2 linked regions of the Rattus norvegicus genome follow. The protein of the gene in region 1 purifies or fractionates together with the protein of each later gene. This does not show direct contact. Links are inferred from orthologs where the notes say so. Each region holds a gene or a part of one and is shown on either strand. Other genes may lie near its edges. The genes, in order: Cebpa and Mrto4.

What was found.
Region 2: the proteins of Cebpa (region 1) and Mrto4 purify together in Homo sapiens (affinity purification with mass spectrometry; 3 studies listed by BioGRID and IntAct, with this or other methods). This does not show direct contact. The link is inferred for Rattus norvegicus from reciprocal best matches to the Homo sapiens genes CEBPA and MRTO4.

The regions. Positions count from the first base shown.
Region 1 is NC_086019.1:96,890,576-96,905,633, reverse strand, and holds Cebpa (CCAAT/enhancer-binding protein alpha), read right to left. Parts: upstream 9,051-15,058; 5' UTR 9,041-9,050; coding exon of another isoform or gene 8,930-9,040; coding exon 7,853-8,929; 3' UTR 6,378-7,852; downstream 1-6,377. UniProt on the Homo sapiens protein: Transcription factor that coordinates proliferation arrest and the differentiation of myeloid progenitors, adipocytes, hepatocytes, and cells of the lung and the placenta.
Region 2 is NC_086023.1:156,883,061-156,898,164, forward strand, and holds Mrto4 (mRNA turnover protein 4 homolog), read right to left. Parts: upstream 8,679-15,104; 5' UTR 8,392-8,678; coding exon 8,364-8,391; intron 6,255-8,363; coding exon 6,196-6,254; intron 5,654-6,195; exon of another isoform or gene 5,527-5,653; coding exon 5,423-5,526; intron 4,829-5,422; coding exon 4,747-4,828; intron 4,488-4,746; coding exon 4,420-4,487; intron 4,178-4,419; coding exon 4,026-4,177; intron 3,710-4,025; coding exon 3,633-3,709; intron 3,521-3,632; coding exon 3,368-3,520; 3' UTR 1,925-3,367; downstream 1-1,924. Other genes in the region: Akr7a3 (aflatoxin B1 aldehyde reductase member 3), read left to right, coding at 124-253, 1,167-1,328; Emc1 (ER membrane protein complex subunit 1 precursor), read left to right, coding at 8,738-8,832, 10,127-10,251, 10,824-10,889, 11,123-11,216, 12,696-12,824, 14,457-14,583, 15,092-15,104. UniProt on the Homo sapiens protein: Component of the ribosome assembly machinery. Nuclear paralog of the ribosomal protein P0, it binds pre-60S subunits at an early stage of assembly in the nucleolus, and is replaced by P0 in cytoplasmic pre-60S subunits and mature 80S ribosomes.

The sequences.
Region 1 (15,058 bases):
ACAGCAGCCATGCGCCCAGAAGCTTGGGAAATGCCTTCGAAGGAAATAAGAAGCATGCTTTTTGGGAAGGGGAGGGTATTTTTTTTGTTGTTGTTTTGTTTTGTTTTTGTTTTATTTTTTAAGCAACGTTAATGCGACTGCATATCCTCGGATATCTGGGGACAAGGTTTTTTGCCCTAAATTATTCACAGGTTTTCAGGGACAGAGGTGTGTCTTACTCCTCCCACACAGGGATGGCTCACTTGGGCCAAGTGTCTCTCAAGCTTAGCCTGTTTACTTTTCACAACTCTGCCTACATGAGGTGCTGGTTTTGCATACAATTTGCATAAAAGGAAACCCGAGCCACAGAGGCCTGAAGAGGCTTGGTGAGTGCCACCCAGTCAGCCAAGGCAAAAGCCAGGATGCAGTTTGAAGCCAGGACCGTACGGTCCCACTTCACGGGTCATCCCCACAATGGTACGGGAGGGATGGGAAACTCCGACTTAATCAGGGGAACAAATTGCTTCTGCCCCTGTGGACTCCTGAATGAACGCACATCAGTGTGCACCAAGTCAGGATGTCCAGGCTGGATGTGTACAGCTCTGTGTGCACCACCAAGAAGACCCAGTAAGTGCCAGGGCCCTCTCTACCAGAGTACTGAGCAACCTGAACACTCCTCGTCCTGCCCCCCAGGGATTCAGAACTCGCAAGGCTAAATTGGGCTATATTTAAAAAACATTAAGACACGAGTGCCTTCAAATTGTTCTGGGATAAATGCTCTGTCCCGTGGACTCCTGGGCCAAAGCCAATTACAGTGCCGCCAGGTAGGGCTTATTCCCTATAAATCAGTGGGAATGTGGTCACACGGATTTTAAATATCAGATTAAAATCAAATTAGTGGGAAAATTTGGAGCAAATTGCCTTCGAGTACAGTGAGCGAGTCTATTTTTAAAACGTTGCCGCACCAGGCAAAAACAGTGAGGCAAACACATTTCTTAACAGCGAGCAGACACTGTGCTGAGAGCGATTTGTCATGCTTAGTCACTGTAATTGCCCCGGCAGAACTCGGGAATCAAATAAAACATGTTTGCAAATTGTAAATCACTCAAGGAGGCCACTTCTGACGGGTCCTAACCTGACAGTGAAGGTCATGGCAGCTCCCCGAAGAGCTGGTACCCAGTCCCTGACACCCCCCTTCCACCTGTTGTCTGAGCTTAGCAACTATGTCCAGCTGAGACTCTATTGCCCAACACGGGCACAGGAAAGCCACTAGAAGTTGGTCACATTTCCTTATCGGCAAGAGGGACCCAGTACTTGTGGCAGGGCGGTGGAAGTAGGGGTCAGCTCTGGGAGAGGGCTCTTGGTGGGCTTCACGGGAAACAGAGCAGTGTGAGGCTCTCTCTATGACTTTGAATGGGGACAGGGGTTCCTTAGGAAGGAGAGGCTTTATTTCGAGTGAAATGTGTGGGGATGCCCCTTGCCAGGGAGTAGAAATAGCTTCAGGTCAAGGAAGGCTTGGGACAGGCTGTGGTGGTTCTCTTCAGACCCTGTCTGGGTCACTCGCTGATGCGTCTTGAAACTGGACTGTTAACATTTGATGGCTAGCATCCGGGCTTTCAGGCTACTACTCCTTTATGAAGACCTTTCCAGGCATCCTAGAGAGGAGAGAAGAGGGAAGGCATGGAGGTCTGAAATACATTTAACTCTCAACTGTTGTGTCCAGTGTTCCAGGGCGAATAGTGGGCCTTCACCTCCTCAGTGTCAGCAGTTCACAGCAGACTTCAGATAGCTTGTCCTTCCTCCCCGCTCTCTTCTTTAGCATACCAGGTCTTCCCTACCCAGTGGCCCTGTAAAACATGACCCTCCACGGAGGCCTGGCCACTCTCTGAGTCTGATGATAAACTGATACCACATTGCTATCCAGTACTATCGAGGGCTGGGCACATTGCCTCACTAGAGTCTTGTTCTGTAAAAGTCATTTTCTAGAAGCAAGAACTCATCTACTGGAGGCGACAAGGTGGACGTCTATGATCTGTCCTTTGGGCTGCTCCTGACAATGGCTCCCTCTGCCCATACTCAGTGGACCTTTACCCGACCCTGTAGACTGTTGACTGGAAAGAAGAGAGCAAGGGTGTTCCAAAAAGGAGAGAGATAAGCTGAAGGAGATACTAGCATTCAGACACACAGGCAATGACCTGCCCTGAGCTAGATACTGGATGTCTGCTGGAGACAAGGTCAGCAAGACGCCAAGCAAGGACCCAGAGGAGTTCTAAGAACTAGTGGTGACCTTGAGGGAGGGTAAGGGTGGAGGATGGAGACCAAGAGACAGTGAAGACAAAGGTCAGAAAAGAGCTCTCTTCGTCTGTAGGAATCAAACAATGCTGTGTTGCCTCTCCTCTCCCTGCCTCTCTTTTGCACTCTCTCTCTGTATGACTATGTGTGCGTGTGTACTCAGGTGCATGTGTGCAGGATGCATGGAGGGAGAGGGCAGTATGTAACCTCTGGCATTGCTCCTCAGGTGCAGAAAGAGGTGGGAGGAGGAAGAAGCGAGGGGGGGGAGTGCATGTCTTCTACTGGCTTGGAACTCTCAAAACAGTCTAAGTGAGGGGGCTGGAGAGGTGGCTCCGTGGCTAAGAGCCCTGACTGCTCTTCCAGAGGTCCTGAGTTCAATTCCCAGCAGCCACATGGTGGCTCACAACCATCTGTAATGGGATCCGATGCCTTCTTCTGGTGTGTCTGAAGACAGACAATATACTCATATACATAAAATAAATTTAAAAAATTAAAAAAAAAACAGTCGAGGTGAGCTAGCCAATCCACCTCTCTCTGCTTCCACAGCCTGTCCCCTCCCCCTTTCTGCCTTTCTTTCCTTTTTTTTTTTTTTTTTTTTTTCTTTTGAAAATGTTGGTTCTGACCAACCAAACTCAGGTCCTCATGCCAGGCAAGCACTTGTTAAAAAGTAAATTTCTACCCAACCTGATAGCTAAAAGAAAACACCACCTTTTCCAGGTAAGGTGCAGCTTGCTTGGCCATCCTGGGCACAGAAAAGGCTAAGAGGCAGGGAGATTACAAGTTCCAGCCCAGCTTGAGCTACTACCTAAGGAGACCCTGGTTCAGACTTACAGGATGGATGATGACTGAGGCCGGGTTGTAGCTCAGTAGCACAGCACTTGCGTAGTTTGCAAGCGGCTCTACGTTTAATTCCCAGCACAGAGAGGAGAGGGGTGCGGGGAGAGGGGGAGCTTTTTTCTTTCTCGGTGTACTTCGTGGGTCGCTGCCAACAGTAGTCACCAAAAGAGGAACTGCTAAGGAAGAGTTGAACTTCATAGCTCTACCTAGACCAGACTCGGAAACGACAGAAGCGGGTCCTGTGGTTCACGCCCAGCCCCTTTCCCAAGGCAGCTGAACAATGTGGACCCTGGACTTTTCATTTCCGTGGGGAGCTCCAGTTTCAGCTCTTCCGTGTCCACACGGGGAGTGGATGTGGGCACAGCAAAGGAAGAGAAGAAGGCCTCCGTACACCCGGGGAGGCCTGCTCTTAATGGGTGGGGCCAGAAAGCTAGAAAAATAATAAATAAAGACAAAAGTGAAGAGAAGAGAAGGGTTCGGGTGCCAGAAAGGGGCTGGCGGTGGCTGTGGCTGGCTGAGTAATGGGTTCCACATTTGTCTGGCTCTGTTTGCAGCCACCAGGATCCAGGGCGTACAGTGGGCCTTGCGAGGGCCAGAGGGGACGGCGCAGCTGCTGGCAGACTTAGCATACCCTTGGGATGGTCCTGTGCCTCTCTGGGCACCACATGGGCAAAATGGGGTTGGAAGCATACATCCCAGCGTCCCCCGCCTTCCTCTGCCCACTACCACCCCCAAACCCCACCCCTGCTCCAGGCTCCTGGGCTCCTGCCTGGTCTACACAGATTGTTCGCGTTATTAATGCGTTTTCCCAGAGATTCCATCTGGCTGTTTAATTGTTCTGGGATGGGGCTAGGATGCTTTGATAGTGAATTGGTTTCTTCCCTAGGTTACAGCTTTCGTTAAGGGTTCCATCCACGGGGAGCGAGGTGGGGGGTGGGGGTGGGGGTGGGGGAGATAAGAGTGGGGAGGGGTGGGGTTGAGAAAGAAAAGGTGGCATTATAGAAGCAAGGAAGAGACTGCGGGTTAGGGGAAGGAGGGGGAGGGGAAGGGGGAGGAAGAAAAGGGCATGCGATGGGAGAAAAAAAAAAGAGAGAGAAAAGGGCTTCCTTTATCTACCAGCACAGCAAAGCAGCAACTAAAGCATTAGTGCCATCCAGGCAAGAACAATACTTCATGCCTGCAGAAAGCTGGTGGGCGCCCTGGAAGAAGTTGCCCCTTGGTTAAGGAAGATCAGAGTTTCTATTCCCCCTGACCTTCAAGATGAGGGGCCCCCTCCCCTCTTGTGAAATCTGCAGCTTGTGGAGGCCAGGCAGGTTCCACCTGGGCTGGGAAGGAGGGGGCGGGAAGCCTGGGAGGGGTGGACACTCCTCACCCTTCCCAGTGGCTCATGGCAGGTGTCAGGGCCAAACCCCATGTTCACAGATTACCAGGAGATCCAAGAGATAAGGGTGACATCCTTGACAGCATTAAGCTATCTGGTGGCAAAAGAGTCACCTCCCTCTCTCACTCCCGCCCTTGTTTCTCTCCTGAGGCTGCCAGGGGACACAGGGCTCAGGAGTATTCCAAAGAAAGAAGTGGTCTCCCCAGCCAGGCCGTGTCCTGGGAAGGGCTCATGCCTGGCGGAAGTTTGCAGGCATTTGAGGACGGAGTCCATGGGGGGGGGGGGGGTGTGCTGGCCTCACTAGACACCGGGCTTTCTTAGGCTGCTGTTTCCACATCAGGAAAAGCCCCTTAGTGCATTTGTTACCCTGACACGATGACATGGCTTGGGGACCAAAGGGTTGTCAGCTCCTCAAATGCAAGACCTTAGTCTGTTCTCAGTGGTGCCTTAATCCTGGGCACAGGCCCTGGATAAGAAGGCATTCAATGAATATTGAGGAGTACGTTCAGTTACTCACGAAGCATGAATTCCCTGGAAGGCCACTCCCAACTAGAGATAGAGCACAAACTGGACAGGGCCACCCTAAACTGCACCCACACCCCCAACACAGACCACACCGGAGGCGTCCCTGATTGGGCCCTTCTTGTTCCCAATTCGGCCTATGAGGAAACTTGGGTTGGGTGTGCAGGAAGGGTGCCCCTTCCATGAGCCCCTGGAGAGAAGATCACCCCCATGTCAGGTGCTAGGAAAAGGAGAGCAGGAGGGCCCCCTCCCCCGATCAGCCAAGGACCTGTTCTCAGAGCAAAGGGGGAATTCAAGGATCATTCCCTGTAAACAAGAAAAACTGGAATCCACACTGAACTCAGAGGGTTTGCTGGGGCCTGCAAGCCACGGCCTGCCCCAGCCTCTAGGCAGGCGGTGGGGCTCTGCCTCCCTAGTTCCCAGGCTGACGGGGCAGGCCACCGCCTCCTCACTGGGCTTTGGCCTTTCCTCTGCCAAGGGCAGCTATGGGTGAGGAGGTGGCAAGGCACAGGGCAGAGAGGGAGGAGGGGTAAGGGGTTGGTGGGACAACTTAACCACAAAGGCTGGTCACACTAAAGTTTGCGGAATTTAAAAGAACTTGTCATTTCTCACCAGTATATATACTGTAAGCTGCTCAGCTATCACAGTCCAGGTGAAGAGCCCAGTGGCCTCTGGGCTCCACAAGGATGGCGAGGACGGCCACCCTTTCCTTACCGGCTTGTTACCACAGCCAACTCCATGTCTGCATCTCATGGGGCAGTTGTAGCAGTGGACATGGAATCATTAGAAGCCAATCCCATTTGCCAGGATGGAGAAAGTGGGGCAGATGAATCTAGGTAGGCTAAGGTAAGGCAGGTGCAAAGGGGGCTCAGCACCCAAGCTGCTGCCCTGGGTGGCACTGGAGCCTGGGAAGTGGGCAGTAAGGGGTGAAGAGTCCTGTTTTGCAGGGCTCCACTGGAAGGCTGGGCAAAGGTGGTGTGGTTCTTGCTCTCTAGGGCTGCAGCTGAGTGATTTGGGAATGAAGCCAAAGGGTCCCCGCAGCTGAGAGGTTCTAAGAGGGCTCCTGTCAAGCAGAGGTGTTCTTCCAGCTCCCTCTTGTTCTAGGATGCAGAGAGAGAGAGACCACAACCCTAAGACAACACTACCCCTCCACCCCCGAGTTCCAGAGGACTTGGTCTTTAGGCTCCCGGTGTTCTCAGCCTAGAGTCCTTATCCCTTGACTGCCGTGGCACATCACCCAGGTAAAGAGAGACTCCACATATGCAAACGGAGGACCTCAGACACAGAAAATGCTGTTTTCAAGTGGAACCCAGCCCAGAGCAAACCTTACAAGTGGCTTCTCTCTGGTTTTAAAAAGACACCAAAATTGAGTTTGATATGTTTATATTATAGATATAATACATAGGACATCTAGCATGAAACTTTGTGTCCCCTCCCCCCAAAAAAAGAAGAGAAGGAAGCAGTCCACCCCTGCTTCCAGTGGCAGGGTTGTGTACAAATTGGCTGGAGGTGGCCTTCTTTCCAGACCCAGAGCCAGGGCCTTTGGGGATGGGGGTGGGTGGGTGGGGAAGCCAGTATAAGTCTCAGCCGGAGGAAGGAAGCTAAGACCCACAACTACATACACCCTTGGAAAACTAGGGGAGAGGGAGAAGCCCACTTCATTTCATTGGTCCTCTGGGAGGCGAAAGAAAACAAAACAAAACAAAACAAAACAAAAAAACCAAACATCCCTAAACCAAAAAGAATGAGAGCCTCACTCAGCCCCTTCCCCTGGCCGTTCGTGAAGAGTCTCATTTTGGCAAGAATCAGAGCAAAACCAAAACAAAACAAAAGACCAAATAAAATGGTGGTTTAGCATAGACGCGCACACTGACATTGCACAAGGCACCGCTGGGACACAGAGACCAGATACAAGTGTTGATATCAGATGATAAAGCAAAATATTTGGGAAGCTTGTCATAACTCCAGTCCCTCTGGGATGGATCGATTATGCTTCAAGTTCCTTCAGCAACAGCGGCTGGCGACATACAGTACACACAAGGCGGATGGTCCCAGTGTCTTCATCCTCCACCCCAAGACCAGAAACTAAGGTCCCTGTCTTCTACCACTTGCTTAACCACATGGCCAGTTCACAACTCAGCCTTCTGGTCTGACTGGGGGTGTTGCCCCCTTCTCCACGAACTCACCAAGGAAACCTGGCCTGTTGTAAGCTGGGGGTGGGGGGAGGAATGTAGATGGAGGAGCGAAAAGCAAGGGGCTAAGAACCCTCCATCTCCATGTAACTAGGGGTGGGGACACTTTTAAGACTCAAATCCCCAACTCCCTAAGTCCCTCCCCTCTAAGGACAGGGACGGAGGGGCAGCTCAGGGACTGCTGGGACCTCAGCTTCCTGAATCTTCCTCCTGCCCTGGGCCTGCACCCTTCATTTTTCTCATGGGGGCCTGCTGCAGCTCTGGAGGAAGCAGGAATCCTCCAAATAAAATATCAAGGCACATGTTTGCTCCCCCTACTCGGTAGGAAAAGGAGCGAGTTTTGAGTATCCAAGGCACAAGGTTACTTCCTTAATACTAAAACTGCCGGGCTCCCAGCTCAGCTCCGCGGAGAAGTCTCTCGGTCTAAAGGAGAAACCACCACGGCCTGACTCCCTCTCATCTTAGACGCACCGAGTCCGGCTCAGAGGAAGGGAGGGGACACGCGGAGCAGGCCAGGCTTTCAGGCGACACCAGAATCTCCTAGTCCTGGCTTGCACGGTCCGGGCAGCCTAGAGATCCAGCGACCCTAAACCATCCTCCGGGTCCCCAGCCAGGGGGCCGGCTCAAGGCGGTCCCGCAGCCGCGCGCCTCACGCGCAGTTGCCCATGGCCTTGACCAAGGAGCTCTCAGGCAGCTGGCGGAAGATACCCCGCAGCGTGTCCAGTTCACGGCTCAGCTGTTCCACCCGCTTGCGCAGGCGGTCATTGTCACTGGTCAACTCCAACACCTTCTGCTGCGTCTCCACGTTGCGCTGTTTGGCTTTATCTCGGCTCTTGCGCACCGCGATGTTGTTGCGTTCCCGCCGTACCCGGTACTCGTTGCTGTTCTTATCCACCGACTTCTTGGCCTTGCCCGCGCCGGCCCCGCCGCCGCCGCCGCCGCCGGTGCGGAGGTCGGGGTGCGGACCAGCCAAGCCCTTGAGCGAGCCCCCGGGGCCCGGCAGGCCCGCAGCACCCATTGCAGGCGCGGGATGAGGGCTGGGCACGGGCGTCGGCGGCGGCGTAGGGTGGCCAGGCTGCAGGTGCATGGTGGTCTGGCCGCAGTGTGCGATCTGGAACTGCAAGTGAGGGGCGGCCAAGTGCGCGGGAGACGCGTGCGGGTGCGGTGGCGGCGGCGGCGGCGGGGGCTGATAGGGGAAGAGGCCGGCCAGCGCCAGCTGCTTCGCCTCGTCCTCCTCGCGGGGCTCCTGCTTGATCACCAGCGGCCGCAGCGCGGGCGCCCCGACGCGCTCGTACAGGGGCTCCAGCCTGCCGTCCAGGTAGCCGGCCGCCGCACAGCCGTAGCCGGGAGGGGGTCCGTGCGCCCCCGCGGACATGACCGCACCGCCGGGGCCCGCCGGGGCGCCCGGGTAGTCAAAGTCACCGCCGCCACCCGCGGGGCCCGCCGCCGCCTTGGCCTTCTCCTGCTGCCGGCTGTGCTGGAAGAGGTCGGCCAGGAACTCGTCGTTGAAGGCGGCCGGGTCGATGTAGGCGCTGATGTCTATAGACGTCTCGTGCTCGCAGATGCCGCCCAGCGGCTCCGGGGCGGCAGGTGGGGCTGGGGGCGGCGCGGGGCCCGCGCCCCGGGGAAAGCCAAAGGCGGCGTTGCTGGGCGCGTGCGGGGGGCTCTGGAGGTGGCTGCTCATCGGGGGCCGCGGCTCCGCCTCGTAGAAGTCGGCCGACTCCATGGGGGAGTTAGAGTTCTCCCGGCATGGCGAGCCTCGGCGGCCTCCAGCCTGCGCGTGGCGCCGCTGTCGCCGCCGCCCACCCAGTACCCCAACTCGCCCGCGCCCGCGCAGCTTTGGGTCGCGAATGGCCAGGCCCGCGCGGGGACCGCTTTTATAGAGGGTCGGGCATCGCCCCCTGGTGTCCAAGCGGGTCTTGGGCGGAGGGCGCCTGCCGGATGGTGCCTGCTGGGTCTTAGAGCCTGCCTTCTCTTGTGACTTTCCAAGGCGGTGAGTGGGGCGGGAGCACAGTGCTAGTGGAGAGAGATCGTGGCGCAACGCCCACTGACTCCTGCGCTGCTAGGCGAACCCGGCTTGCGGCGCTCAGCCCCACCCCGGCGGCGCTGTCGCCCCCGCACACACGTGGTCCGTGGTTAGGCGCCCCTCCTTTAAGCCTCTAAGTCACCCACTTCCAGCCAACCCTAGGGAGCCGGGGAGCATCCAGAGGCCGAGCAAGGGGAGGTGAAGGTTGGGGGGCGTTTGGAGAGAGGATGTTAGTCTTGAGCTACCGTGGTGCAGACTTGTCTTAAAAGCTGGGACTAGGCCTGTCTCCCACCCGGATTTTTAAAAAGCTGTGGCGGAGAGCCGCGGCGCAAGGACGTTAGGGACTGCTTTGGACCAGCAACCTAGCGCGCACTGCCGAAAGGCGAGGCCCAGAGTGCTGAGATTGTGCGTCTTTATCTCTGAACTCCAGGCGACCCCACTACTTCCAAGCAGAGCACCTCTCTTTCGCCCAGCCTCTTTAGAACTCCAGGGTCCCACGGGTTCTTCAGAGTAGTAGGGCGCTAGGACCCGGCGGGGAGCGGAGGCGGCCGCTAAACCCGGAGCCTAGTGGACCTGGCTGGTCCACCCGCCTAGGCTGGAAAACTTTCTTTTTAATTATGTCTCCAGGCCAGCGCGATAGGATTGCTAGGCTTATGAGGCGGACGCTGCTACCCTGCGTGGAGCTTCTAGTCAAATGTTCCGGACCCCCCCCCCACCACACACACACACACACACACACACACACACACACACACACACACACACACACACACACGCCGGGACCAGCGGGTGGGTCCTCCGGGACTCGCGGAACAAGACACTAAGGAGACCGCGCAGGGGCGGGGAGAGGGCAGGGTGTTGGAGTGAGAGAAGTGAATTTGAATCGGGGATCGTGATCCCCAGGCGGGGCCCATAGTCAGGGGCCTGAAGTCACAGTTTTCTTTCCCTACTGTCATTCAGAGGGGAACTAATCTCGGTAGCTCGGGTGTCCAGCTCTTGGCTACCGAGCCTTTCGAGCACCCACTGGGAGCCCCCTGTCCAGTCCTTGGGATCCTCCGCACCGCGCCGCCTACAGGCTCGCGGCTGAGGGTAGGAGTTTGCGAGCATCGGCTCCCCAGCCACGTGGCGTCCAGTTCATTCTCCACCTGGATCTCGGCCGCGGAGGTCCGGGACAGAAGGGGCCTGGTGAGCACCCACGTCTCTCGTTTTTGCACCCCGAAGACCCTTTGGCGGCTTCTTGAATTGAGGCCTTACGTCCTCTCGAACTCCATTTGTCCTCGTTCCAAGCTGCTGGGGGTCTTCCTGCGACACTAGGGTGCGCAAGGTCAAGACCCCCCAGTGCAATGGCCATTTTAGGTCAGGAAAGGCGCTACGATCCGCCCAGGAGGCTCAAAGAGGAGCGGCTAAAAACTGTTGGGGAGGTCTGCTGTGCTTCCACTGTGGTTTACAGTATAAAGAACCGACTTCGTCTGGAGGACGCATCCTGTACTTTAATCAAATTCTCATTCAACATATTCTCAGTGATTAATGGCCCGACTGCTTCATTTTCGGTCCAGAGCGCATAAACAAGATATTTTTAGCTTGATGCTTTTGAACAGAGCGAATAGAAAGCAGATACACTAAATAAACAACCTGGTATGAGCGGGGGATCGCTCTCTGGGCCAGATGCACGCGACCCATTAATACACCATGCACCTGGAGTGTCCCCTGGAGAGAAATCCTTAAAAGCCGAGAAGGATCTTCAGTCTTTCTACTGAGCTAAATATAATGCTTGTTTGTTTGTTTGTTTGTTTGTTTTTCCCCTGAGGGGAAAGGGAACACTGTGAGAAAGTTCCTAGCTAAGAGAGACATTAGTGGAAGTCTGATGGCTTTAGTTGTCCTCGCTTATGCAAGCACAGGGACTTAGGGTTGCGGGAAGCCAGAGCACAATATAGTCGCCAAACGAAAAAGGGTGGGATAAGTGTGTGAGGTGAGGGGCGGGGACTGGGACTCCTGCCCCAAAGCCTGCAGGTCCGGAGTAGCTGACAGAGTCCTTTTTACTGCTCCAAAAACCCAGGGGAGCATGAGAAGTGTCCCTGTATGTGACACAGGTAGAGGGACAGATATGTCATATACAGTCAGAGGGTAGGAAAACTGTCATCATAGAGAGGGGGACACCAAAGGAGGGGGGGAGCCATCGCCCATGAAATGGTCTCTTGAATTAGAGGTGGGAACGTCATTAAGGCTGTATTCACACCCAGCCCCAAGGAACCCTGGGCTCTGGAGAAGGCAGCCTCTGATTGCCGGATTCACTGACTCTGATTTCCAGTCTCCTGAGTGAGGGTCAAATATGTACCTTTACACAACTCAGTGAAATCCCACTGCGGCCGACTGAAACAGGCCATGGGAGAGGGTTTCATGCAGGCGTGAGACTTTGAGCTATTTCCTGAAGTAGGCAGGAACTCTCTGGAAGGATAAGGAAGAAAAGCGTCCCCCCACCCCCACCCCCTTGGAGGAGGGAACAGCAGGTGCAAAGGTGGAGAGGCTGCCGGGAGCATGGCCTGTTCTGGTAACAAAGGACAAGGGTGTTTGACAGGCTGGAGTGTGGGGAGAGTTAGGGAGGGGCCTAGATAAGGCTGGATCCACAGACAGGGTTGGGTTGATGGCCAAGGCCATCCCAGGTAAGCAAACCGGCTTTATCTCTCAGAGCATTTATCCTCTTGTGGCTGGTCTGGGAGGTTTTTTTTTTTTTTTTTCCCTGTCCGGGTTTCTGAGAGCCTACTCCAGGTAGAAAGGAGAGGAGCTTTTGGCTAGGTGAGAAACATGGGGTCCACAAAGGGGTGTGGTGGTACATACCTGGAGCCTCAACAGGAAGACTACAGGTTCAGTGACAGTCTAGGCCACACTGAAAGGACTTGTTTCAACCCACTCCCTCTGCCAGGAGAGGCTACAGAGGCAACCTAGGACCTATCTAAACAAGATGCGAGACTCCTGGCTGGAGATGACATCTTGTGACATATATGTCTTCCTCCAAGCCCCTGAAGCAAGGAGCATAGGGGACTCACTGGCCTGATGGGTAGAGTGTTTCTTTTCAGTTTATTAGTTATTGGAGAAGCTCCTGGATCACCCAGTAGATTACACATCTTATCAGGAGGCCCTGAGCAAGTGAGGGATGCCAAAGGCCCATTAAAATACCTGCCTCATCATTTACTAGCCAGATGACCTTAGACAAGTTCTGAGTTCCTCAGTAATCCATTGTAGGGCTGGTGGAAGGATTAGGGAACGTATATGCTGAGCTCAGATCTGGGCCAGTTGTCAATACTGGTAAATAAGACCGTCTCGAACTGTTCTTGCACTATCTAGTCGTGTACACTGTTGGGGTTCCGTTTTTGCCGGAAACTCACTTCAGTGCAATTATAGGATGCCTGGTGTGGTACTCACGCTGGGGTTCTCAGTCTGGTTTAGGCAACGTTGTGTGGCATCGTTCTCTACCGAACACACTCCAGAAGTGACTTGCCTGTTGGGAAATGTAGCTGTGGATGCCAGTATGATCATAACCAAAAGTATGTGATATATATGTATATATGTGTGTGTGTGTATATGTATGTATGTATATATCCTGAGTTCCTAAGAATCAGCTCCCCCAGTTTTCTCCTATTCACCGAGTGTGACTCATGTGTGATTCCTTTGTTGTTTGTATTGTTTCCCACTTGCTGGATGCTATTCGCAGATAAGCAAAAGCAGAGATTCTAGAAGAAAAAATCAAACCAAACTGCACTTAGTTTTATTTAGCAAATTGGGAGATGTCCTTTATGGCATTTTTGGTATAAAAACTGCTTGGCGAACCCCAGAACCGCCATCCAGCAAAGAGGCACCCACTAAAGCAAAACCTGAACATGGGCGTGTCTTCTCCATATGCCTAAGGGGCCGAGAACAATGATACAAATTGCAACTCCCCACTTCATGTTTTATTAAACACCAAATTACCACTGAGCCAGCAATTTTGTATTTAATAAATAACACTAAATAATTAATTTGGTATTAAATGAATGCATGGCCATAGTCTAAACACTGGAAGGCTAAGGCAGGAGAATCACAGGTTCTGTAATCTCACTGAGAGTTCAAGAGCAGTTGAGGCTTCGTAGTGAGTTTCAGGCCAGCTAGGAAGAAAGAAGAAAGATGAAAGAAAGAGAGAAAGAAAGAAAGAGAAGAAAGAAAGAGAGAGAGAGAAAGAAAGATAGACCAGACAAAAGAGAGATCAACCAAACCCAAACACCGTCCTTCAAAAATGTGCAAAATCAAGAAACAGATAAAATATATTCTAGATTTCCTGTCTTAAATAATATTTACTTCAAAGCTGGGGATATAGTTTAAGTGGTAGTGCTCAACCAGAATCCCCCAGTGAGGTGCTGGGGTGTGACTCAGTGGTAGAGCCCCTGCCTAGAATCCCCCAGTGAGGTGCTGGGGTGTGGCTCAGTGATAGAGCCCCTGCCTAGAATCCCCCAGTGAGGTGCTGGGGTATGGCTCAGTGGTAGAGCCCCTGCCTAGAATCCCCCAGTGAGGTGCTGGGGTGTGGCTCAGTGGTAGAGCCCCTGCCTAGAATCCCAGTGAGGGACTGGGGGCATGGCTCAGTGGTAGAGCCCCTACCTAGAAACTCTCAGTGAGGTGTTAGGTGTGTGGCTCTGTGGTAGAGCTCCTGCCTTGACTTCATTCATAAAAGGTTGAGGGCATGGCTCTGCAGTAGAGTCTTGTACAGTATTTCCATCCCCAGTACAGCAAAACAAGCAGAAGACAAATTTCAGAATACTCTGGAAGACCAGATTTTGACTTAGAATTTAGCTTTAGAAAAAGTGATGGGGATGTATGGGACACATGTTTAATCCATTTGATAGGCAGAGACAGGTGGATTTCTGTGAGTTTGAGCAAGCCTGGTCTACAAAGAGAATTTCACACCAGTCAGGGCCACACAGTGAGACCTTGTCTCCCTCTCCTTCTTCCCCTCTCACTCTCTTTTCCTCCATCCTCCCCTTTTTCTCTTCACACACACACACACACACACACACACACACACACACACACACACTAACACACACATATACCCACATATATGTGCACACACATATAGATATAAAGATATATAGATATATGCCAGGGAAGCCCTTCTCTCCCCTGTCTTAGAGCCCTCGATGCCGGTCTTTAGGTCCTAGGTCAGGCCATTGCTTTGCAGCACAGGGTCGAAATGCTGCCTGTGTTTTGTCTGCTTGGTCCTGGGGATGTACACACAGGCTACCGCCTGGTAAAGAGGCCCATGGGAGTCTAGATAACTGGCTCTAAGCTTTGGGGCAAGTAACTCCCAAGTCCAAGAGGAGCATAAGGGGATCCCCACCAGAGAGCATGATGGGCCAGCTACTGTGGAAACCCTTGTGCTTGAGGCTGCGTGTGTGTGGCCAGACATATGCCAGGCACAGTCACCATGCCCTGGGCTGGCCAGCAGCTAGTCAGCACAAGCAGAGGAGCAATGACCCCATCTATGTGGATATCCCGGATCCAGTTGGGAGGCAGAGCAGTGGGCAGGAAACCCATATGTGAGAGCCAGGTAGTGCAGGCCTTGAATTCCAGCTGCTTAGAGTGGATGTACGTTCAAGGTCAGACTGGGTGACTTAGTACGACCCTGTCTCAAAGTGAGAAGTAAAACCAGAGCCTCGGGTACAGCTCGGTGGCAGCACCATGCCGAGCACGTGAGAGACCCTACGTTCATCCCTGCAACGTAGCACATGCACCCCCAGTTAATCCCTCCTTCACATATTACATGCTTGCAGGCCACCCCTCCCCCTTACTGAGCCTCTACGC
Region 2 (15,104 bases), on another chromosome or scaffold:
GTTCTGATACTTTGGTCGTAGCGCTGTCTGAGGACATAGGCCACCTCAGGGATGCAGGGGTTGAGTCGCCCTCTAGATGCCCTCAAGATACTGACCCCAGTGTTGCCCTTCCCACCCATTCAGCTACTGGAAGGAGGAACACTTCAATGGCATCGCCTTGGTGGAGAAGGCTCTGAAGACTACCTATGGCCCCACTGCCCCCAGTATGATCTCAGCTGCCGTACGGTGGATGTACCATCACTCACAGCTCAAGGTAGTGTACCTGGGCCCAGTTTAGCCTGTGCTGTGAAGTCGAATGGGAGGAGGAGGAAGCTTAGAAGTGAGAGAGGCCAACTGCTGAGACTATGTCTTCCCTGGCCCAGTGTCAAGAGCTATGTGAAGACTAGTCATCTTGAGTTATTTTTTCTCTCAAAGATCTCGTTATATTTATTTTGTTTGAGTTTTTTGCCCGATGGTTTCCGTGTGTACACAGTGCCTGCAGAGGCCAGGAGAGGGTGGCAAGTCCCCTGGGATTGTAGTAAAAGGTGGTTGTAAGGAGTAGGCCCTGGAAGTGAACCCAGGTCCTCTCCAAGAGCAGGAACTGCTCCTAGTTGCTGAGCCGTTTTGCAGCCCTAATGATCTCAATTGGTGGAGAGGCTGGTTTAAGTTCCAAAGGTATACATGGTAGGAAATAAGCACAGATCTGACTCTGAAAAGTACATTTTAAAAAGTATTGGGGCTGGGGATTTAGCTCAGTGGTAGAGCGCTTACCTAGGAAGCGCAAGGCCCTGGGTTTGGTCCCCAGCTCCGAAAAAAAGAACCAAAAAAAAAAAAAAAGTATTTATTATGGCCCTTCCTGGAAAGAGAACTCAGGTCTGTGTCCCTGGGCTGGGACATGGGGTGGAATCTCTTCCTGCTGTCCCAGCTTCCTCTCCCTGACCCCTTTCTCCAGTGTGGACATTCTTGGGGTAATGGTGCTCTTTCAATATCTGGTAAATGCCAGGCCTGGAGAAAAATGATTCCCAAACTGTCCTGCAGGGTAGAGAAGACTAGATGACCTTGCTGTTTGGAGACAATAGTTTTCTCTTAGCAGCAACACGGCCTTAAGTAAAAACAGATCTTAGCAAGGAACAGGCAGGAAGCCATCAGGTGGCGGAAGTATGGTGAAAGTAGGTTCTTTCTTGCAGGGCACCCAAGGGGATGCAGTCATTCTGGGCATGTCCAGTCTGGAACAACTGGAGCAGAACTTGGCCTTGGTCGAGGAAGGGCCTCTGGAGCCAGCTGTTGTGGATGCCTTTGACCAAGCCTGGAACCTAGTTGCCCACGAGTGTCCCAACTATTTCCGCTAAGATACATCTGCCTTGGGGAGGCGCAGCTTACTGCCTGCCCCGCCTTGTCCTGGGCTCGATCTGATCTGGTTCTTTCCTTTTTAGACAGGTCACTGTCTTTCTCTTCCCTGCTTTCTATACAGCCAGTTGCTTTCAAAGTGAGAGCTGGCTGAGCCCCAATACCTCCTGCTGAATAAAACTGTTCCCTGTCACAGCCTGGGCTACAACTGACCTAGTGGCCTTATTCTCTTGAATGCCTGAGGCTTGCGTCAATGCTCCTTCCCAGGGTCCAGAGGAAGTGGGAAGGAGTGCCTGATCTTTAGAGGGCAGTGGTCCAGTGCTTTCCTTAAAACCTGCCAGGTTCAATCTGGCACCAGCTGCGTGCTTTCCTCCTGACCATGGAGTCCCACAGCAGTGGACAGCGGCTAGGTGCTCTCTGCCCCAACTAAAGTCTCACTTACCTGATTACACAGGTTGAAGGTTATAATTTCCACAACCATCCTGGGTGCAAAGCATAGGCAACAAGAAACTGAAAGTACCCCCCACCCCCAGCTCAACATAGCATAGCAGGAGGCAAGAATGGAGGTCAAAGTAAAGAACAGATCCGGAGGAGGGCATTGAGTACTAAGCAACATTTTAATTGATTTGGCAGCAAGTGCTTCGGTCTGCTGAAACATGTCACTTGTCTTTCTTACTTTCCCCTTTGAGACAATGTATCTGTGTGTAGCCCTGGCTGTCCTGAATTCTGCCTCCCAAGTGCTGGTATTAAAGGTGTGAGCCACCACCACCCTGGCCTTTTCTTTTTAAGACAAAATGCCATATACTCTAGGCTGGCCTTGAACTCCTATCAGGTCTCTTGTCTCTAGCTTTCAATTTCTGGTGCATACAACCAAGCCTGCCCTTTTTTTTTTCCTATAATGATTTATTTATTATATATAAGAACACTACAGCTGTCTTCAGACACACCAGAAAAGGGCATCAGATCCCATTACAGATGGTTGTGAGCCACCATGTGGTTGCTGGGAATTGAACTCAGGACCTCTGGAAGAGCAGTCGGTGCTCTTAACCACTGAGCCATCTCTCCAGCCCCAAGCCTGCCTTTTTTCAGCCTTATAGTTGATTGGTATCAAACTTTTTTTGAGATAGGCTTTATTTAGCCATGAGTGGCCTCCAATTCAGAGATTGGCCTCCCTCTGCCTGGCTTGGCCTCAAACTTTCAATCCTACCTCAGCCTCCTGAGGTGCTGGCATTCCAAGCATTATCATATTGGCTTGCCCTGGGTTTTTTGGGCATGATTATGAAGACCCAAGGCCCATCTTATTCAGTGTTGCTGTTTAACCCCCACATCCCTCCTCTAGGGTAGAGGTCAGGAACTCTGAGGATTTTCTGACCCACAGGTCCAACAACTTTCCTCAGTTTCTGTGTGCTGCCAGGGAGGGACCTGCTGGCCTTAAGCATGGTTTATGATGCCTTACCACTGACTCGCACAGCACACAGCTACTAATCACTACTAGTCAGCCAAGTGTGGTAGCACTTGAGGGGCAGAGGCCAGAAACTACTGTAAGATCAAGACCAGTCTGTGCTTCAGTGAGAACCTGACTCAAACTCCACTTGCTCCCAATCCCCTCCACCGCCCTGTGGCAAGCCTGTGTTCCTCATATTTTACCCCCGGCTTGCACGTATCTGTGTGCTTATTTATGTTTTAAGTGATCAAGCTTCCAGAGAATTAACTTTCCTCAGCAAACCCACTGCAAGCAAACGGACAAAGACACCCAAATCCAGGCGTGCTCTCAGCCATCTGCAGTGCTGGCCCACCCAGCCCTAGCCCGACTAGGCTGGAGCACAGCCGAAGGCCTTTATAAAGAGTCTCTGCTGTCTACAGGGAGCACCCTGCAGACAAAATTTTATTCTCTATAGAAACAAAGTCACTGCCCAGCACCTCCCTTGTCTTTATCCATAGCAAAAAAACCAGCCGCTCCCTCTAGGGGGCGACAGCAGTCCTGGGGGCGTCCAGTGGAGATGAAGTACTTGCTGGAAGGCCTTGGTTCTGGTTCCCAGAGTCAGCTGTCGTCCTCCTCCTCCTCAGACTCCCCCTCAGACTCAGGCGCGCTCTCGGGAAGGTCATCGTCCATCTGCTGGAATCTCCCTGACTGGGCATCCCACATGTATTTGATGGTCACTTTGAATTCGGCCATCTCATACCCAAACAGCTTCTGTAAGGGGTGGAGGAAGGGGAGTGAGCAGGAGCAGCTGTCAGCAGCAGAGGGCTGTGCCCAGCAGCTGAGTGGCAGCGGCCCCTCCCCCAGGTCGCAGGCCCAGACTCACCAGGACACGGGCCTGCTCTGGGGTCAGCACGTCACCCTCCTTGCACACTTCATAGTCAGACAGCAAGGTCACCACACCTGTGGGAGGGCAGCACCATGTCACCCCCAGCCTTAGGAAGCATGCAGCCCTCTTCCCTGAGGGACAGTGGCAGCCTCCTCCCTGCAGGAGGCGAGTGCTCAGCTCTGCCTTCACAGGACAAACTGTGTCTATCGGAGCTGGTCTAGGGGAGCGTCTGGGGCAGGGGTCCCCGAGCTGCAATTCATCTGTGCAGGTGCTGCTTTGCCTGCACGAGTGCCTATGGCATCACATGAATACCTGGTGCCTGTGGGGGCCTGACGTGGGTCCTGGGAAGCAGCCAGTGCTCTGAACCCTAAGCACCTCCCAGCTTCCTACCTTTCTTGAGGGCAGTGGGCAGACCCAGCTGCCTCAGCTGTGGCTCCATGGAATGAGGGAACTGTTTCAGCGGCCCTGGATCCAGGCTCACAGTTAAAGTTGCTTTGTTCCCCGCTCGAGCAAAATCCATTTCTGTATACTTTGTGAACCACCTAAGTTAGAGAAGGGTGAGGGTAAAGTTCCTGGAAACGCCACCATTCAGCTGAAGTCCAACCTCCTTTGAGTGGCATGGTCTGAGGCTTGCTGTCCGTAGCCATGTTGGCAGGCAGAGGGGAGGACCAGGACAGAGAGAATACCACAACCCCGGTTAGGTTACAGAGTAGTTTCAGTAAGAGCCTTGTATCTCTTCAGCTTTCCCTGACTCTCAGCCTCTTCCTCCCTCAGAGACACTCACTCATTCACCTCCTCCTTCGTGCGGTTGGTAAAAAGGAGCCCAACTTCACCTCTCAACTTCTTGCTGACCTGAAAAACACAAGTGAACACCACTGCTTCTTCACCAGGGGCAACTTACCTATAGAAATCACCTGGATCACCTAAAAACACTTCTCGTTGGCAGAACTCCTAGTAAGTAGGGCAGGCTATAGAAGGCATAGCCCCATGGGTCTGGAGATTAAGAACACAGAGTTGGGCCGAGTTTGGTTCTCCTGAACCCACAGGCCAGTCCCACAGCTGAAAAGAGCAGGAGAGGCAGTGGCTGCCGCAGGGAGGGCCAGTGACCTACCTGATGTAGGTTGTCTTTGTATTCATCAGACGGGCTTCGACCCAAGGCCACCATCATCACCTTGTTTTTGCCAAAGAACATCCTACCATGAAGAAGGAGGATGTGAGCCAACGCTGTGTGGCCAGAGGCCCTGTTCTCCATGTAACCCAGCCATGTGTTCCCAGGATTCCTGTTTTCATTTTTTTTTCCGGAGCTGGGGACCGAACCCAGGGCCTTGCGCTTCCTAGGTAAGCGCTCTACCACTGAGCTAAATCCCCAGCCCTGTTTTCATTTTCTTATCCACAGAATCAGATCTTGCCAACAGTTTGACAGCTCACTCCGAGCCTCAAAAGTCACTTATCTGTGTCTGCCTGTGGGCAGGAGTGTGTCCAACAATCCCTACTAGAGTGGTACAGCAAGACAGTGACCCCAGAGCCACCCGCACATGTACTGTAACCCATCAGCCCCTGGGGCCTGCTTTGGGGTCAGATGTACATGATGATACTCTACTCGAGTGTGCCAGACACCAGGGGCCACTTTCCTGAAACACAGAGTGACCAACAAATCCTGTCCCAGCAGCTCAGGGAAAGGCCAACTCTAACGGAAGCCGTGCCCCTTAGGGGAGCTGCAGACACCAAGGTCAGCCTGCTCCAGTGCTCTGATGAGAGCAGCTCTCGCCTCTTCCCACTGTGCTCACCGGCTGTGCTTCCAGGCATTCCGGATGTCCTTCAGCTTGCTGTTCCTCATGTTGGCCACAGAGAAGATGAAGAGGTACTTGTAGGTGTCCACGCATTTCCGAAGCTGTGGGACAATTCATGAGGCTCTGGAGCTGAGGCGCAGCACGGGCTGGGCAACTCTGGCCTCACACAAGAGAAGCGGTCATAGGCCTTTAAGCTTCCACTGGCGTGACTGACACCAGTGTTACTTACTATGGAAGGTGAGCAGGGACCCAAACCCTGTGGTCTTTCCATGACCAATGTGGAACAATCACCCTTTTTCCTTAGTCCATTTAGTTGATCTAGAAACTTCTACCCGCACTGGGAAAGCCCCTGCTAAATCAGAACATAAGGAGCCTCATCTTATCAACAGGAGAGACACTCCATCCTCATGGTCTTGGCCAGGCTTCTGGCTGAAGCCTCCCTGTGGTAAAGCTCCATTTCCAAAGAACAGGAATCTGTGCACTTGGAGACTGCTCTTACCTGGCCCAGACCCAGCAGCTCAGGGGCAGACAGAGGCTACAGTCACCCCTGGGTCACGTCCAGCCTTCTAACACTGGGTAGCTTTACAAACTCACTGACAAGCTTTAGTAACCCCGAGCTTTTGTAAAACATCAATAGCATCACCTAGTCCTGGGTCTCAGGGATACTGTGGGAGGTGTGGAAACTCTGACACTGCTAACAGTCCAATCCCAACTCTGCTACCCAAACACATAGGAGGGGGCGGGGTGGGGTGGGAGGAGCAAGCACTTACCTCTTCTATCAGGTTCTGCTTCAGTTCCAAGCCTTTCTTGGCAGTTTTTGTTAAGGAAACTAAAACCAAGAAAAAGAGACAGCAGCGAGTGATGTCTTGACGCTCTGGAGACTAATTCTGCTTCTCTCTTCCGGGCTTGGCTAAACTAAGCAAGTGTGACGGAGGCAGCAATGGACACTGTCATTCCTGGCATTCAAGGTTGACAGAGTTTGCTTACCTAGCATTCTTGGACCCAGAGATCCCTATATACATCCCTACCACAAAAGAAGTTCCTTGGGCCAACGGCTGGGTCTACTGCTTTATGGCAATAGGGCTCATTGCTGCTGATAGAGCACTGTGAGTGGGGGCCCTAACCTGGCTGAGGGATCAGACTCACCACCTTAGTTAAGGCCCTTTCCTGCCACAGGGATGGTGCACAGGCCATTGATGGCTAGGGTGGGCTATGGTATGATAGAGAACAATTCTTCCTTTTATAAAAAACCAGGATCTTGTTACAAGACTGTTTAGGCTGGCCTTGAACTCAAGATATAAATTCTTGCTTTTGCTTCCTAAGGGGTGGGATTACAGGCACGTACTATGTCATCCTGTTGGGACCTTATCTTTTCTATTCTATTCTAGACCTACACTTCAATTTCGTAATCTGGACCCAGGAATACAGTAACGCTGGGGATGGGGTAGATGGACCGCACAAGAACCTCTACTGAAAAGTAACCAAGGTCCTACAAGCCACAACAGTTAGAAACAAGGCTATCAGGAAGTTTTTGGATGGCATCTATGTGTCTGAGAAGGGAACCGAGCAGGTTGATGAGTGAGACCTCAGTTTACTAGCTCCAGAAACATGGTGCTTATCCCAAATACAATCTGGGCTTTTTGGAGACAATAAAGAACTTATATATTGAAAAAAAAGAAAAGTAATCCAGGTCCTATTTGTCCTACTTCCAAGAGTTACTGGCATTTGCTTACATCTAACTAGGGCTCCCCAAAATCCTAATGACTCTCTAAGGACTCACTAAAACATCAGCTGTAACACGCTCTGGATATTCCCAGGAGGTGATATGGCCTTTCATCAACCCTGCCTGCCACTCACCGTCTATACAAGGCACACAGTCAAAGGCAATCACAATGAGCCAGTCATTCCCCAGACTCTCCACACCTAGGATTCTGGTACAACTTAGCATACTCCAGGTGGTCACTGGCTTTGCTGTCCTCATAATTCTCCGGACTATCAAGGCAGCCAAAGGGATCCTTTCAAAGCAAAGCCACATCAAAGGCCAGATCTCTTCCTCTCAAACCTACTTTACTACAGCCACACTGGCCTCTTGTCCCACAATAAGTTAACCACACTACAGACCCCTTTCATTCTGTGTTTCCCTCTATTCAAAACGACCTACTCGTTTGTCATCTAGGTGCTGAGACTTTTCCTGACAGCATTATGCAAAACAGTATCACCTTCTCCATACACCACTTTGACTACCTGACACATTCTTACTTGACTGGGATATAGGTATAGGAGACAAACAAACACACACCCTACTAAGGTGGTTAGTCTGATGAAGCCAGACCCTTTTTGTTCAACCGTCTTGCCTTCTAACATCCACAAAAGCGCCAGCCCGCTAGCTGGATGTAGTGGCTCAGTCTGGAATGCTAGTGTTTGGGGCCAAGGCAGACCAGATAGAGAGTTCAAGGCCCCAGCATTAAGAACAAGCAAAAAAAAAAAAAATGCAGTAGTCGAAACTGTAAAACCTCTACATTCTGGAGAATTCTTGGTCTACACACCAAATCTGAGCTACATTGCAAGATCCTCAAACACACACCGAGGCGCGCACATGCCAGGGGATGTAGCTCAGGGCTCGGCGGGTAATGCTTGCCTAGTAAGAGTTTACTGCGTCCCATCCCTAACTCAACATAACTAGGCTTAGTGATGCATGCCTGTAATTCCAGCAATCCGGAGGTAGAAGCAGCAGGATCAGGAGTTTAAGACTATCCTCGTTGGCGAGCTCGACCCTGGGATATAAGACTGTTTCAGGAGCTGCTTGTCGGCCCGTACCAGTTTCCAGCTCTCTCGGTGACCTGCCGACGCCAACTCGCTAACCCAGCCGGTCGAGCTCCTCAGAGAGGCCTCGGCGTCTCACCCGTCGCCACCCACGACGCAGGTCCCCCGAACCTACCTTTCTTGTCTCGCTTGGATTTGGGCATCGCGCTAAAGGCACGTGCGGCGGAAGACCCGGCGGCCCGTCAGGACCCGGGTGCCGCAGAGGCTTGTGGGGCGGCGCTCGGGGCTGCCTCTCTCGTGTGCCTGACCCGAAGTGTGGTGGGCCCTCTCTTCCCTGCCTGCGTTCTGCCTAGGGCCTGGAAGGCCACTTCTCTGCCCAGGTTCCAGAGCCTTCCAGTCCCTTCGGCCCCCCTGATCGCCGCGGCTTCCGAATCCGGAACACTTCACCAAGGCCCTCGCGAACCGGTTCCTCTCTATGGCTCTCCGGAGGGAGGGGCTTGAGGCCTGGTGCATGCCGGGCTGGCGGCGGGCGGTGCTTGGGCTTCAATCATGGCGGCGGCTGTGGAGTCCTGGTTCTGCCTCTGTGCTGTGCTACTTGTCCCTGCGGCCGCAGTCTACGAAGACCAAGTGGGCAAGTTTGACTGGTGCGTACGGGTGACGCTTCTCCTGGAAGTTGGTGTTTGCTTTCTCAGCATCTGTCTCCCTCCTGCTAACCTGAAGGAGAATTGCCATGGAGCTGGACCGAGCATATAACTTACAGGGGATGGGGCAGGTGTGCTTTAAGGGAGAAGTGAATGAATGAATGTTGCACCCTGCGCAGAATGAAAACGAGAGCGTCCCTTCTTCAGATATGAGGAGTTTGCCGACGTCAACCCAAGAGCATTATGTTAAGCACGGAAGGAACTCTTTTAAGCCTCCTTGTTTATGACTGTGCAGATTGCACCGTAGTGGAGGGAGCCCTGCCATCTAGGCACCCTTTAAGGGCTTTGGTCAGAGGTCACTAGTTCCCTCCTTTCCTGTCACGTCCGATTTCGTGGCTGTCAGGTTTGTGATCTCCTGGGTTCGAGGTCACTGGCCCACAAGTGAACTTTCATCCTCCTAGAACTAGCTGGTGTCACTTAGACCAGGTTCTAAAGTGAGCCTTTTTCTCTGAGGGACTCTCCGGGCGCATTGTGGCCTCTCCCTCTCCAAATTTATCGGCCTGACATTCGTTCACTCACCCCCCTCCCTTCAGACCGTGCTTATTTCAGATTGAATAAGTATTTACCCACGTCGGTTGTATGGTCCTGGGGAAATTGACAGACAACTAACAATAGTTTTTGGGGTTTTTTTTGTTGTTTTATTTTGTTTTAAAAAGGTGTTCATTTTGGGTTCTGGTCCCAACAGTCATTAGTCTTTCTGGACTTCGGTGGCTCACAACCATCTGTAATGGGATTGGATGTCCTTTTCTGGTGTGTCTGAAGACATCGACAGTGTACTCACATACATAAAATAAATAAATCTTGAAAAAAAAAAAAACCCCAGAAGCTCCTTTAAAACAAACTAAACAACACAGTGGTGTAAATGAGAGATGCAGTCTAAATGCCAGGCTTGCTTGGTGTGCCTCACAGAGCAGTATTTTCTCATTGCAGCAGTGTGCTGGCACTTATGCCCCTGGAAGTCTATTTGTTACAGCTAAAAATTAATTAGGCCATGGACTCTTTGGGGGTGTTGCTTGAGGACGTAGGTGTTACATTTAGCTGTAAGACTGTTATTATCTGTCATGTACTTGGTTCCAATTCTCTCCTATCTTCTTTTGCTTCTGAGTACATTGCACGGAAGTCTTGTATGCTTGAAGCTTTTCATTAGCACACATTTCTTGCATGTGATGAGGGAGATGTGGTGGTGTGAACCAGCCACTGTCTTTGGGCCCTGATGTTCCCCTGGACTGGTCCTCAGGAGACAGCAGTACGTTGGGAAGCTCAAGTTTGCCTCCTTGGAGTTCTCCCCTGGATCCAAGAAGTTGGTTGTGGCCACAGAGAAGAATGTGATTGCAGCATTGAATTCTCGGACTGGAGAGATTTGTGAGTGAACTCTGGAGGCTGGAGGCTTCAGGGAGGGATGCTGACTGGGTGAATCCGAGTGACCCATGGCTTCTCTAGTCTTGTCATCTTTCAATATGTATGTCTGTGGTATTAGCCTTTGTAATTCATTCCCTCAACTGTGAAGGTCCTTAAGATAATACTGCAAAAGCTACATTCTCTCCTGTTTTGTAGTAAAGGCTTAAATGACTACTCTTGAGTTATCCCTGGGATTGTTAGTGAAAAGAGAACTTATAGACTGTTTTCTTATGAAATTGGGTGGATTTTGTTACTCTTATTGTTGCTCCTTCATGTATTTGATGGGGTAGTAGTGGGCTGGAGGGGCAGAGACCCCAGATGGAGGAAAGCATTGTCTCTTGAGCCCCTTCTTCTCCTCCTCCTCCTCCTCCTCCCCCCTTACTGTCCAGTGAGTGGGTCTAGGTTATAGCAGTTAGTGGTACTCCTTGTTTCCTAATTAAAGTTAGATAATGCTGTGCAGATGAAGGTCTCAGTCCCTTCCTGGTCTTGTTGGGTCACAGTCACTCATAGCAATGTCTGACTTTCTTATCTCTCAGTGTGGCGCCATGTTGACAAGGGTACAGCAGAAGGGGCTGTGGATGCCATGCTGGTCCATGGGCAAGGTAAGCGGAGCCCTCCTGGTCTCCATTGTGGCCTCAGCCCCATCTCCCATTTCTTGGTTCTTAGAATGGGTCTGATGGGGAAGGGAGGAGAGCTGCGTCTGACAGTGAAAGAAACAAAGGACCCGATTAACAATGTCTGTGTACATCCATGAGCTGGAGGCAGGGTCATGGCTCAGCCCTTGTGAGCCAACTGAGGAAGTTTCCAATATGGCAGTGGTCTTTCTGTCTTCCAGATGCAATCACTGTATCCAATGGAGGGCGCATCATGCGTTCTTGGGAGACTAACATCGGGGGCCTGAACTGGGAGATAACTCTGGACAGTGGCAGGTAGGGAAGAAGTGGTGCTTCATGGTGGCTGAGTGAAGGGACCTGGATAGGTAACAACTCTGGGCCATTGAGTTTTTTTTTAAAAAATTCCCTCAGGGATCACTGAAGAGACATAGATGCCCATCCTTTAAAGTTTTTTTTCTTATGTATATGGGTGTTTTGGCCACTTGTATATCCATGGTCCACATGAGTCCAGTATCTTTGGAGGCCAGAAGGGTGTTGAATTTAGGCACACTGGAAGATTGGCCATCCCCTCCCCGCATTGAGGCAGAGTCTATCTAGCTCTGGCTATCCTGGAAATACTTAGGTCAGCCTGGCTTTGAACTCAAAGAGATCCCTCTGCCTTTACTTCCCAAGTGTGTGCCACCACACCTGCCTCAGATGCCCACTCCTGATTTGCTTGCTGTAGCCCATGCGTGTTTATTCACTGAGCAAGTGAGATTGTGGAAAGAGAATCTATAAATGATCTCCTGTGAATTAAGATTTTGCTAATTGGTCACCTGTTAGGTGCACAGCTCTGTCCTAGACACAGTCAGTGTCTATTCTGTTCCTGAACACTGTTGAATCTTAACAGAACATACGGGCTTTGTATGCCGTGTTCCGGGTAGAAGGACACAATACAAGCTTTCCATGTTTCTGAATGTTTGTGCTGAGACAGATCTCATGTAGCCCAGGCTACCCTCAAAGTAGCTACATAGACTGACTTTGGACTTGAATTAGTTTTAGTTGTTATCATCATGTGTGTGTATCTTGGGGTGATGTGTTGTGGGAAGGACAGCGTGCATGCCATGTGAGGTAGAGGTTAGTGAACAACTCTGGAGCCAGTTTTCTCTTTCTACCTTTTTGTCGGTTCTGGGGATTGAACTTGGGTTGTCAGCCTTGCTCAGCCAGTGCCTTTCTTTACCTGCCAAGCCATCTTGACAGTCCTGGCCTTCACCTTCTGACACTCCTGCTTCTACCTTGCAAGGTCTGGGATGGCAGAACCGTACCAACATACTTGAAACACCATATTTTAGTTCTCTGTCAGAAAACAGCGTGGCCTGCTGCCTCACCTTTGCTGAGATTAATTGTGGGTTCGCTGGCCTCTGCTTAGGTATCTTATAGTAGCAGTTCAGTGGATTAACATTTGGTGGACCACAGGGGATGAGAACACTCTAAATCTGAGACAGCTCTGTCATCAGGCTCATGCCTAGTCGTGACCATGGTTCTAAGCTTTCAGTGATAGCCTTGCCTGATGGGGGCATGCTAGAGGGTTAGCTGGGAGAGGAAGATGTGATCTGAAGGAGATTTGGGGGATGGAGAGCAGTGCACCTAAGTGGTTGCAAGGCAGATTCTCAGGTTGGCAGAGCCAGGATTCGGCGAACCGGTACTGGGATCCAGGTATATTTGTTTTCTGACTTAGCAAATGTCAGCGAGCAGCACCAGAGGCAGCAGTGGGGCAGCCATTCCAGCTGCAATCCTCACCACACCTGTGCTCAGTTTCCAGGCACTCGGGCTGGTGGGCCTCCAGGAGACAGTGAGGTACGTTGCGGTTCTGAAGAAGACGACCCTCACTCTCCATCACCTCTCTAGTGGGCACCTGAAGTGGGTGGAGCATCTGCCAGAAAGGTAAGGCTCTCTCCTCCCAAGTGATGACCTCTAATGCTCTGTCTCCTTGAGGGTGCTTGGCCAAGTGCCCTTCCGTTGGCACTGCGTGGGAGTGGTATGCTTGTGCACATGGGTCCGAGTGGAAAGGCTTGGCTACACACTTGGAGTGTACTTGGAAGGGTGAAGAAGTTTCAAACTGGGGCACTAGAGCTGCCACATGAGGGGGCTGCTCCTGCGCAAGTGCACAGGGCTCTGGGCCTTTCTGCAGCTTTTTAACAGTAGTCTGATACTGTCTTCACGGTAAGGGTTCCCACTGCGGGGAGGGGCTGAGGGAGGCTCCAAGTGGTTTCCAGTGGTCTTGGGAGTTAGAAGCATGAAAACGAGGGTGGGTAGAGGTCAGGCAGGCGTTGGCTTCAGCCACTTGTAATCGTTTCCCAAAGATTTTCAGAAGTGAAATTGCTAAAGTTAGGCTGGAGGTAGGCTTGGCAGCAGAGCCTGCCTGGCATGCACAGGGCCCTGCACCCTGCATTTGGCTCTTTTTTTTTTCCTTTTAGGTTTTCTGAGACAGGGTTTCTCTGTGTGTCTCTGGCTATCACTAGAACTCACTCTGTAGACCAGGCTGGCCTCCCAACTTACAGAGATCTGCTTGCCTCTGTCTCCCAAGTGCTAGGATTAAAGAACCATAGTTGCTTGGCCTTTGTTTGGTTCTTAGCCTTACTAAAAATGGGTCAAATCCCTAGGTGAGCATGGTGGTGTGCATCACACACACATAGACAGACAGACATACATACAGACACACACACACAGACACGCACCCCCCTAACTCTAGAGGGAAGCCAAGATGTGAGGATAACAAGTTCAAGGCCATCTTGGGCTATAAAGTGAGAGCTTTGTTTGTTTGCTTTTTTAAAGATTTATTTATTTTATTTATATGCGTACACTGTCACTGTCTTCAGACACACCAGAAGAGGGCACCAGATCCCATTACAGATGGTTGTGAGCTACCATGTGGTTGCTGGGAATTGAACTCAGAACCTCTGGAAGAGAGACAGTGCTCTTAACCACTGAACCATCTCTCCAGCCCTGTTTGCTTGTTTTTCAAGAAAGAAAAACAAACTAAAAGCCAGAAAACAAAAAAACCCAAATACCCAAAAGTCAGTATTCTAGAGAACTAAGTAAAACATCCATGAGTCTGGCTTACCTGATGGGGTGGGCCTACTTCCACAGCCTTACTCAGCCATCTGGTGTGCGCCCCACATACAAGTAGGCATGTCACATCTGTCACTTAGGAAAAGCTGGCAGTCTGGTTTATATATGTGATAGCAATTTGAGCATGTTGATGAGAAATTCAAATTAAAGACAAAAGCAAGACTAGAGGCAGGGCTGGACAGGGGGCAGGGCCAGGTAGTGGGGTGGGGCTGGGTAGTGGGGCTCCTGCCTAGCATTTGTGAGGCTCTGGGTTTGATCCCTCACACTGCAAACAGTAACAGCAAAGAATCCAAAAGCAAAGGCTGTGTGAGCCAAACAACTCCAGTTGGGGCTTTTCAGTTAGTGACAGCTCACTCAGAAATGGCAGCTTGATTTTGAAAGCCCCTGGGAAAGCTCAGGTCTAAGGGCTCAGCTGGTGGTCTTGTCCTCTCTTCCCTCCCTTAGTGACAGCATCCTCTACCAGATGGTGTATTCCTACGGCTCCGGGGTGGTGTGGGCCCTTGGCATCGTTCCCTTCAGCCATGTGAACATCGTCAAGTTTAACGTGGAGGATGGAGAGATTGTTCAGCAGGTACAGAAGGCACCTGGCTCCTTGTGGGTGGTAAGGAGTTGATGGAGGCCGCCTTTTCACGGGGGTCCAAGGAACTTGGCAGGGCAGTTGCAAGAGCAGCTTGTGTTCCTGATGCCCGTCTGTTGCTGCTGGCTACGGGATGCTGGCTTGTCCTCAGCGTGCGATTAAGGCACTTTGTTAACACACAGTGCTCTTTTGGGCTGGCTGAAGAGCTACTCAGACCTAGGCACTGTCTCTTTAAGAGTTTCTAAGGGAGCTATGAAAGGATGGGAGTACAGCCTGGAAGAACCCCTGTGACCCTCAGGCTCACTGTGTAGGCCAGGCTGGCTGGCTTCAAACTCACAGATTCCTGGACCTCTGCCTCCGAGTGCTGGGATTAAAGGTGTGCCACCATGCTTGGCCAGGCATGCATTTTGAGCTTGAGCTGGCGGGATTCCAGCAGTTATTCTGCTGATTTGCTGAGAGGGACCATGGTGATCTTCATGAGTGTTGTAAAATCTCTCCTCAGGTCAGGGTTTGGA